2 linked regions of the Cricetulus griseus genome follow. The protein of the gene in region 2 interacts with the protein of the main gene of each other region in a pairwise test. Links are inferred from orthologs where the notes say so. Each region holds a gene or a part of one and is shown on either strand. Other genes may lie near its edges.

Region 1 (3,989 bases), on a different chromosome or scaffold from region 2:
GGCCTCATTGTCCTTTCCTTGTCATTAATAGGACTATGTGTAAACGTCACCAGCTTAACAAATATTTATGCCCGACCCCCCATATGCCACACATTATTACAACATTGAAAAGAAAGGCAGGAAAAAAATTCCCCATCCTCATTAAATTTACTTTTTACTTGGTTAGAAAAATGTGTAAAACTTATCGTAATCCAGTGATGATGTCCCACGGAAAGAAAAGTTAAGGGGAAAAAGATGACAGTTCACAATAGAAGCAGAATGAGTTGTAGCTGTAAATAAAACAGTCATAGAATGTGTCCATAGACAATGTGATATTTGAGTCAAGACATGAAAGCGTTGAGCCCCAAGGATGGAAGAAGTATAAAGGCTTGAACACACATGTTGGTACCAGACATGGCTGAGGATAGCCAGGAAGTCAGCGATTTAATCAGAGTACAAGATGAGGAGAAATGTGCACTAGTCAAAGAAATGATGAAGGCAAGAATTTTGGCTCCACTCATCAGTATGATGAGAAAATGCAGGGAGCTGTTTGAGCAGGGTCAAATGGAAGACTCTGCAGAAATGATTGATCTGTTTTTCTTCCTCTTTTAAAAAATAATTTTTATTTAAATTAAAAACAATCTTATTTTACATACCAATTTCAGTTCCCTCTTCCTCCCATCCTCCCATCCTCCCATCCTACCCCCCACCCACTCCTCAGGTCAGACTTTGATGATCCCTCATGGAAGGCCTGATCCTCCCTTGTCTGTATTTTAAAGAAAAGTGAGCTGCTTGTTAGGAGTAATTGTGATGGAATGGGAAGAGCCAGGAGGCAGAGCCAGAGGGAGGACCGAGGAGACCAGTTAACAGGCCTCACATTTGCCAATCTGTTGATGAGGGGTCAGGATAGAATAGAGGGGCCTGAGAGGAATACAGAATGTTGGTCTGAAAGATTAGAATGTCAGGCTGTTTCACTTACTGAAATTAAGAAAACTGGGAGAAATAAAGTTTGGGAAAAGATAATAGATTAGGACTTGTTATATTTGAGGTGCCAAGTTGAGAAATCCACAAAGAGATGTCAACCAGGCTGGATTCTGAAAGGAAAAAAAAAAAATCTCAATTGGGCATCATATTTTGAGGATGTTTTTATTTTAGTAGAAGCCTAGTAGATCTACTTTTTAAAGAATCAATGATGTCAGAAAGAAAGAAAAAAAAACAATCAAATGCAGGATAGATCATTGTGGCGATCCTAATTTTGAAGGTGAAGGAGATGAAAAGAAAACACCCATGTTGGCCTGGAAGAGACAGGGGAGATAGAAAGGACATCAGTGAGGGTGGTGCCCAGGAAAGTAAGCAAGGATAGTACTCCCAAGAGTCATCCGTGTCTGTCTTACTCATTGTGGGCTGCTGTAACCAATTTCCATTGGCTTGGTGGTTTATAAACAAGGGGGGTGTATTTATCGTGGTTTTGTGGGCTGGGAATCAGCCTTTGGAGTCCAGTATGGCCAGGTTCTGGTGAACTGCTGACTCCTATTAGTATCCTCACATGGAAGAAGGCAGGAAACTGTCCTGGGGTCTGTTATATAAAGGTAGTAATTTTACTCACATGGAGTCCGTCCTCCTAATTTGATTACCCCCAAAGCCTCACCTTTTTATTACCATTGCACTAAGGACCAGGACAGGAATTTAATGTATGGATCTGGGGTGTAATTTGGTCCATTTTAATGCTGAATGCTACCAATAAGCCTGCTGTGTCTAAATTTATTCCATCACTATAACGAAATACCCAGAGCTCAGCGATGTATAAAGAAAGGCTTGCTTTGGACCTTGCAGTTCTGGAGGCTGGGAACTTTGAAGATAAAGCCCCAACATCTGCTTAGTTTCTGATGTAGGCCACATGCTAAGTCAATACAGGGCAGAAAACAGACAGCAAGCAGGCATATGTGAAACCGTAGACTGGGGCAAGCTGATGTAAAATGACCCTCTCATGTGAGGAGTTAAGTCTTGTTGGAAGTTCATTCCTGTTTTCACAGGGGTAGATCCACCATGATCCAATGACTTGTTAGGGCTTTCATCACCCTACTGCCATCATGTTGAGGAGTTAAGCTTCAGTGTGAGTTTTACTGAGACAGTCTGACATTCAACCCACCATGGTTCAGTAAATAGGGGGAAAGTATGTCTCTTGGATTAAAAGATATGGGGACATTGTGATGTCTACAAGATCAGTTTCAATAGGAGGGAAGGTCAGTGTCCCCTTTCTCTAGTTTACATAGCTTTAAATTTAGTTCTGATTCTTTCTAAACAGAGAAACTGTGGGCTCTATCTTAGCCAGTCATGAAGTCTGGTGTCATATACCAATTTCAATGCTTAATTGTTAACACGACATGGCTTCTAACTCTGATTTCATTTTCCTGTGACTAGAGTCCAGCAGGCTTAAGTAATATATGGAGTCTGTCAGAAATAACCCCCACTCCTGGGTTTTCACTTAGCTGAATATAAAATTCCCGAGTGTCCATTCTCTCTCAGCATATGGAAGTATTATTTTTCCTCCCCACTACCATGCTTGTTAACAGCTTCTATCAATCAAAATGTTATTTCTCTGATATTAATCCGACATTCCCCCCTTGGCTTTGTAAATCTGTGTCTTACTGTATGTGTAAGTGTGGGTTTATTTTTTATCTTATTCATCCTGCTCAGCATGTGGTGTGTCCGTTCACTGTGAGTCTCTGTTTTGTTTTCTTCTGAGAAGTTCCCAGCCAACTCCCCTTAAAATATTACATCCCTGACAGTCTATTAATTCTTTCCTCAGGCTAATTGTTATGTGTGTGCTGGGACCTCTGTGTTTCCCCACTGTTTGTGCCCAATCTTTTAAGCTTTAATCTTTTATTTTTGTCTTTAACTGCATTTTCATCTATTTCTTGATACTATAACTTAATTCTTCTGGAGGTTTTTTTTTTCCAAATACTGTTTTGGATTTATTTATTTTATGTGCATGAGTGTTTTGACTGCATGTGAGTATGTGCATCATCTGTGTGCAGTGCCTGCAGGGGCCAGAAGAGGGCATCAGATCTCCTGGAACTGGAGTTGCAGGCTGCTTGCAAGTCCCTTCGTGGGTGCTGGGAATTGACCTGGATCCTCTGCAAAAGCAACCAGTGGTCCTAACCACTGAGCCATCTCTCCAGCTCCTGGGGCTTATTCGGAGAAGAGATCATTCCAGTGTTTTGGGATTTTCATTTCTGGTTAATCATGTCTAATCTTGTTTCCCTTCACTTGCCTTTATGATGGCCTTTCACACCTTGTATTTTCTGTCTCCCTCTAGCCAGCTGGCTTCTGAAGCAGCTGAAATGAGAAAAAGGCAGCAATCCCAAAATGAAGGAACACAGGCTGTGTCTCAAGCACCCGGAAACCAGAGGCCCAACAACACCTGCTGCTTCTGCTGGTGCTGCTGCTGTAGCTGCTCCTGGTAGGTCCATACTAGACCCAGTGTAAGTGCATGTGCCAAAGCTTCATCCCATAAAAACCTGACAACCTGTACTACTTGCCCACTGGGCATGGAGAAATTTCTGAAAACCATCACTGACGTAAGGCACACATCCCATAAGCAAAATTAACTCCCTCAACACTGACATTAAAATGTTGGTAAGGTAAAAAATAGAAAATTACTTATGTCATGTTTTCTTCTGTACATGCTTCTTATGGATGTGGGTAAAAATAAGATCATAATTATAAGATCACCTGTCTATAAACAACAGGGTCATGATGGCTCAAGAGTCAGGAATATTAAGGGAATAGCCAATGCGATTGCACCTAGTGTTAAATGTAGTGGATTTTTTTTTATTAATTACATGCTTCCTCGTAGGAGTTTGTTGCCTTTGGTTGTATAATCAGAGCACTGTGAGTCAGAGTGGTAGCCTTAGCCACAGCGCTCTTGCCAGCAAAGGCATGGTGTGAAGAGGGAGGGACTTGTGACCACAAATCTGAAAGCTCAGATGCTGTGCTTAGAAGGAAGG
Region 2 (4,493 bases):
GCTAAGCTGGTGCGGGTGGTGATGAGAGTGCATGGGCGCTAAGTAGGAGCTGCAGTCTACACCGCCAAAGTAAGAAGAAGAGGGCGCGGGGTAGCCCTGGCCGTAGCTTCCGCCCTGGCCATAGGACATGGGGTAAGAGGCCGCAGCAGTGGCGGCACCTGCGGCTACCGAGCGTTGCATACAGGAGGCGTTGCTCGGTGCGCCCAGTGGCTCTGGCACGGACACGGATGGCGGTGCTGAGCCTGGCGAGATGGAGGCCGGGCTCCAGATGGACGAAGCAGTAGGCGTACTCAGAGAGGACGCGGCTGCCACCGGGTTCCCACCCAGGCCCGCGGCCGCAGCAGCCGCGGGATTGGCGGAGGCACTGGACGCTGAGCTAGACGAAGAGGCCGAGCTAGACACGGCAGGCGGCGTGAACTGGCCGCTACTCTCCGAGCCCGAGCTCTCGCGCACTGGAGACGACTTCTTCTTGACCGGCCGGCTTTTCGTTCCGTTCCCGCTCTGCTGCTGCTGGCGGCACTTGGCACGGCGGTTCTTGAACCAAACCTGCAGTGAGCAGGGTGAAGGAGAAGGGATCAGGGGGCTGGCTAGTGGAGCTCACAGCTCCTCCGCCCCTCGGACTCACACCCCGCCCAGGATCTCAGGGACCTCTCAATCCCAGCCTCTACCCCTCCCAGTCTCTGGCCCTGCCAGACCCTGTCCCCTCCCCCGCACGTGCTAGGTCCCCAGCTCTGGCTCCCTCCCCCATCCTTCTGCGCAAAGCCCCCAGTCAGCCTCCACCGCAGGAGGGATGCGCACCTCCCCAAGCCCAGCGCAACTCTGCCCAAGGGCGGAACGTTTGCGTCTGTCCAGCCAGAAGTTCAGCCATCTCTAAGCTGTTGCAGTTGGCTGCTTCCCCGCAGCCCCGTTTTAGTTTGGAGGCCCTGTTTTCCAAGAACAGAGCTCAGGAAACAGCGGAGAGTACAGAACATCGGAGAGTAGGGCAGTCACCAAGTCTGGGGCCCGAGGGGTTTCACCGAGTCGGCTCCTGGAGACTGGAGTTGGGCAGGGCAAATATTTGGGTGGGAACAGAAGCAAGGCTGGAGGCTGAACTGAACGGAAGCAGTACTCCAGTACTGGGATTCTCGTGAAGGAAGCCTGGGTGAGGTTTCCTTGGGCCTTTTGGCTCCAGGTGGGGTACCAAATGGAACGATAAGTCATAAATTCGCACTCCTTTTGGAGGGGCCCGGACACGGGGCATTGCATTCCCAGTCCCTTCTCGAGCCTTCAGGGAAAGAAGTTGAGACAAAAGACTCTCGAGGAAGAGTTTTAGACTAACTCAGAACTCCTATTTTCTGAACTGTTTCATTTTAGAAACAGTAAACCCAGCATCTGGATTTTGCACTCGGCCTCCACTCGGCTGGAGAAAACTCCAAACCATACCGACTCCACCCTCAGAGCACACTCCAAGGCAGATTGCGCTAGGCTGTGACCAAGTTCCATCTTGCACTTTTAGAATCCCCAGGACTCAAGGGAAGGGTAAGAAAGACAAGAGCGGAAGGAGAGCTAAGGCTCAGTAGGAAAACGCCAAATTCTGTTGTAGCCAGGAAGCAGGGGCCATTATCTAACCTTCTGGGAAAGTTACACCCGGGGGACACGGCTGGCCTTTCCAAAATCCAAAAACCGACTTTCAACAATGAAAGCGCCCTGGGGACAAGGGCTAGAGAGATGTTGGGCTCTAAGCCATTACTTTTTAAAATGTTACCCCCCTTTAGCTGACTGAAGCCCAGCACTAGGGGGAGTTAGAGAGGGGCTGTCCAGTCAGTGAATGGGCCCCAACACCAGATGGCCCAGGTCGGATCTTCCCCGACCGCTCCTAGCGCCCCTACCCTAATCCTAGAGTCCCAAAGACCACGCACCTGGACTCTGGACTCTGGCAGGTTGATCTTGAGCGCCACCTCCTCTCGCATGAAGATGTCCGGGTAGCGAGTCTTTGCGAAAAGGGCCTCCAACACGTCCAGCTGTGAACGCGTGAAGGTGGTGCGTTCCCGTCGCTGCTTCCGCGGGGTGGCTGTGGGGACATACAAGGGCACCTGGAGTCAGCAGTGGACCTCGAGGACTGGAGCTAGAGGCCACACGCAGGTCTTCTGGTAGGTCCAGAACCCTGCCATGGAAAGGAAAGGCCGACCTCCGCGCAAAAGCAAACTTCCCTGCCCACAGGTGGGGCAAAGTGTATAAATTGGGCTAGAGGCTCCTGTCTGAAAGAAACATCAGGGCCTCAGCCCTCCTTGTCTCTCAGATAAAAAACAAAGCCATCCCCTCCTCATCTCCCTAAGCCCACTTCTGGCTGAAAGGTAGGAAGTAGAACAGAGGTAGGTAGAAACAGGACCTGGGAAAGCTTTCCAAGTGAATAAATTCAAGCAAAGAAGTAGGATCCAGAAAATAAATTCGGGGTTCAGTTGGAGTCGTCTGCCACCACGGAAGAGCTGGGTCAGGTCCCTGGTCTCTAGGGCACTCTGACTAGGGAGAAAGAGCTCTGCTTCTCAAGGCAGCTAGACATAAGGGAAGTTTGGCTGTTTACATTAGGGCCTATCGAGTCCAGATTCCTCGTGAAATGTTTGGGCGGGCAAGATTTTATTTTTTTAAAAAAGCAACCGGTGGGAAATACGTCGGTGGACAAACATGCTTTCTCTAGCATGTGAGACCACAACAGGAGCAGGCACCACAAGCTCAAAAGTTGTAGGTCACAGTTTCTAAACTCAAACCGGAGAGCCTGTAGCAGATCTGGGCAACAGACACAGAGATAATCATATCCCTGGGCCTGTTTGGGGACTGTGTGGGCTCAAACGTTAAAAGCTGGAATCCCCCAATATTTGCACAGGCTTGGGGGTAGGGACATAGGGCCACCGCTCACCAGGATAGCCCACAGAGGGGTGTAGGAGGTCCATGGCAGGGCCAGCTAGGCCCAGCCCGTTCATGCCGTATGGGGGTTGTTTGAGGTAAGACATCATGCTAACTGCCGGGTGGAGGCGCCCCGACGGATCCAGGGGGCCTGGGGCCAGGAGCAGTTCAGGGCTCCCACTTCGAAGTCCTTCAAGCTGTTGCTTCTGGGGGCCTGGCCTAAGGAGACAGGAGACACATGGAAACCGTCACCCGCAGTCACTTTGGCTTTCAGTTCCTATAATCCTAGAATGGGGAGGGGGGCAGGCTAGGAACTTAACAGGGCAGGCAACCCAAGAAATTTCTCCTCCAAGCTCAGCAAGCCGGCTTCTTAGAAAAGTAAACTTTCCCCACATCGTTCCTTCCTCTTTTAGGGCTTGACAAGGGCCAAAGACACTCCTTGAGTGTCAACAGGAAAGAAAACTTAAAAGCGCGATCAGGCCGAGGAGGTGAGAGCCGGGACCGGGGAGGGTGCAAAATCCCAAGTGTAGTCTTTTTTTTTTAGTGCTGCGGAAGCAATTTGCTCAAGCAAATGTTCACTTGGCGCCGGGATGGCAGGCCGTACAGAGCGTACGTACCGGGTTATTTTGTTTAAGTTTCAAATGTTTTTGAAAGAGGGACAAAACCGCTGGCACTACAGAGGTCCAAGGTTAGTACCCCTTGGATCGCCCAGGCAACTGCCCATTTTGGTCACATCATTCCTTCAGAGATCTCCAGAGCAGCCCCCTCCCCCAGAGTCCCAATCACCATTCTATCTGACCTCTCTGGGCCCCTGACGCTAGGAGATGGGTGAACCGGAATTTCAACGCACTTCTAGGGTAGATGTGGCCCAGGCCCGGGTGAGGCGGCGAGAAGATGCCAAAGGCGCCACAGTAGAAGTGGCAGTTTCAAGAAGCCGCCCAAGGTCAGGGGTGCCTCAAAGACGGTCACCCGTCCTCCTAAGCCCACGCAGGCCCGACCTTCTTTCTACCAAGTCCGAGAGAGCACACCGAGTCCCACCAGGGTCTGATAAAGGATGACCAGCCCAGCGGCTCAAAGCATGCTGGGGAGTTCAGAAGCCAGAGCACCCTGGATCGCGTGGGCTCCTCGCCGTCCTCTCCTGAACTCGGTGGAGAGCAGAGAACTAGGCCTCAAGTCGGAAAGCTCCCGCACACCCAAGCTGGGAGCGCTAGGCTCGGCCGAAGACACTGCGAGCCCCTGGCGCTCTTCTCCAGCGGAAGAAGGGGTTCTGGGGGGGTAGGGCTGGGACCCGAGAGGGGGGCTTCTAGCTACACCCGGCTTTACAGGGAGCCCAGGGTGGGAACTCAGGGAAAAAGGAGGCAGGACTTAAGTAGCTTTCCCATCCCAACTCCAACCCCTGCTTCGGTCCTTGGGGTCCCGCGGCCTGGACTAAGGGAGACCAGCAGGCGCGGAAGGCGGACGGAACCACAAGGGAAACAGCGCACTTGGGCCGGAGAACCACAGGCCACCAGCCGCCGCGGTTCTGCGAAGGTGCTGCGTGAGTTTTCGAATACTTAGATCTAACTTAGCACCCCAGCTCCGCAGCTTCGGAGGAGGCGGGGGAGGGGTGCCCG

What was found. The genes of interacting proteins can lie anywhere in the genome.
Region 1: the proteins of Otx1 (region 2) and Rgs17 interact in binary tests that used the Homo sapiens proteins (3 or more experiments, as listed by UniProt). The two-hybrid records come from large-scale screens. The link is inferred for Cricetulus griseus from reciprocal best matches to the Homo sapiens genes OTX1 and RGS17.

Annotation. Positions count from the first base shown.
Region 1 is NC_048595.1:283,334,046-283,338,034, reverse strand, and holds part of Rgs17 (regulator of G-protein signaling 17), read left to right. Parts: intron 1-3,298; 5' UTR 3,299-3,323; coding exon 3,324-3,442; intron 3,443-3,989. UniProt on the Homo sapiens protein: Regulates G protein-coupled receptor signaling cascades, including signaling via muscarinic acetylcholine receptor CHRM2 and dopamine receptor DRD2.
Region 2 is NW_023276807.1:84,695,093-84,699,585, reverse strand, and holds the start of Otx1 (homeobox protein OTX1), read right to left. Parts: upstream 2,991-4,493; coding exon 2,894-2,990; intron 2,051-2,893; coding exon 1,899-2,050; intron 547-1,898; coding exon 1-546. UniProt on the Homo sapiens protein: Probably plays a role in the development of the brain and the sense organs. Can bind to the BCD target sequence (BTS): 5'-TCTAATCCC-3'.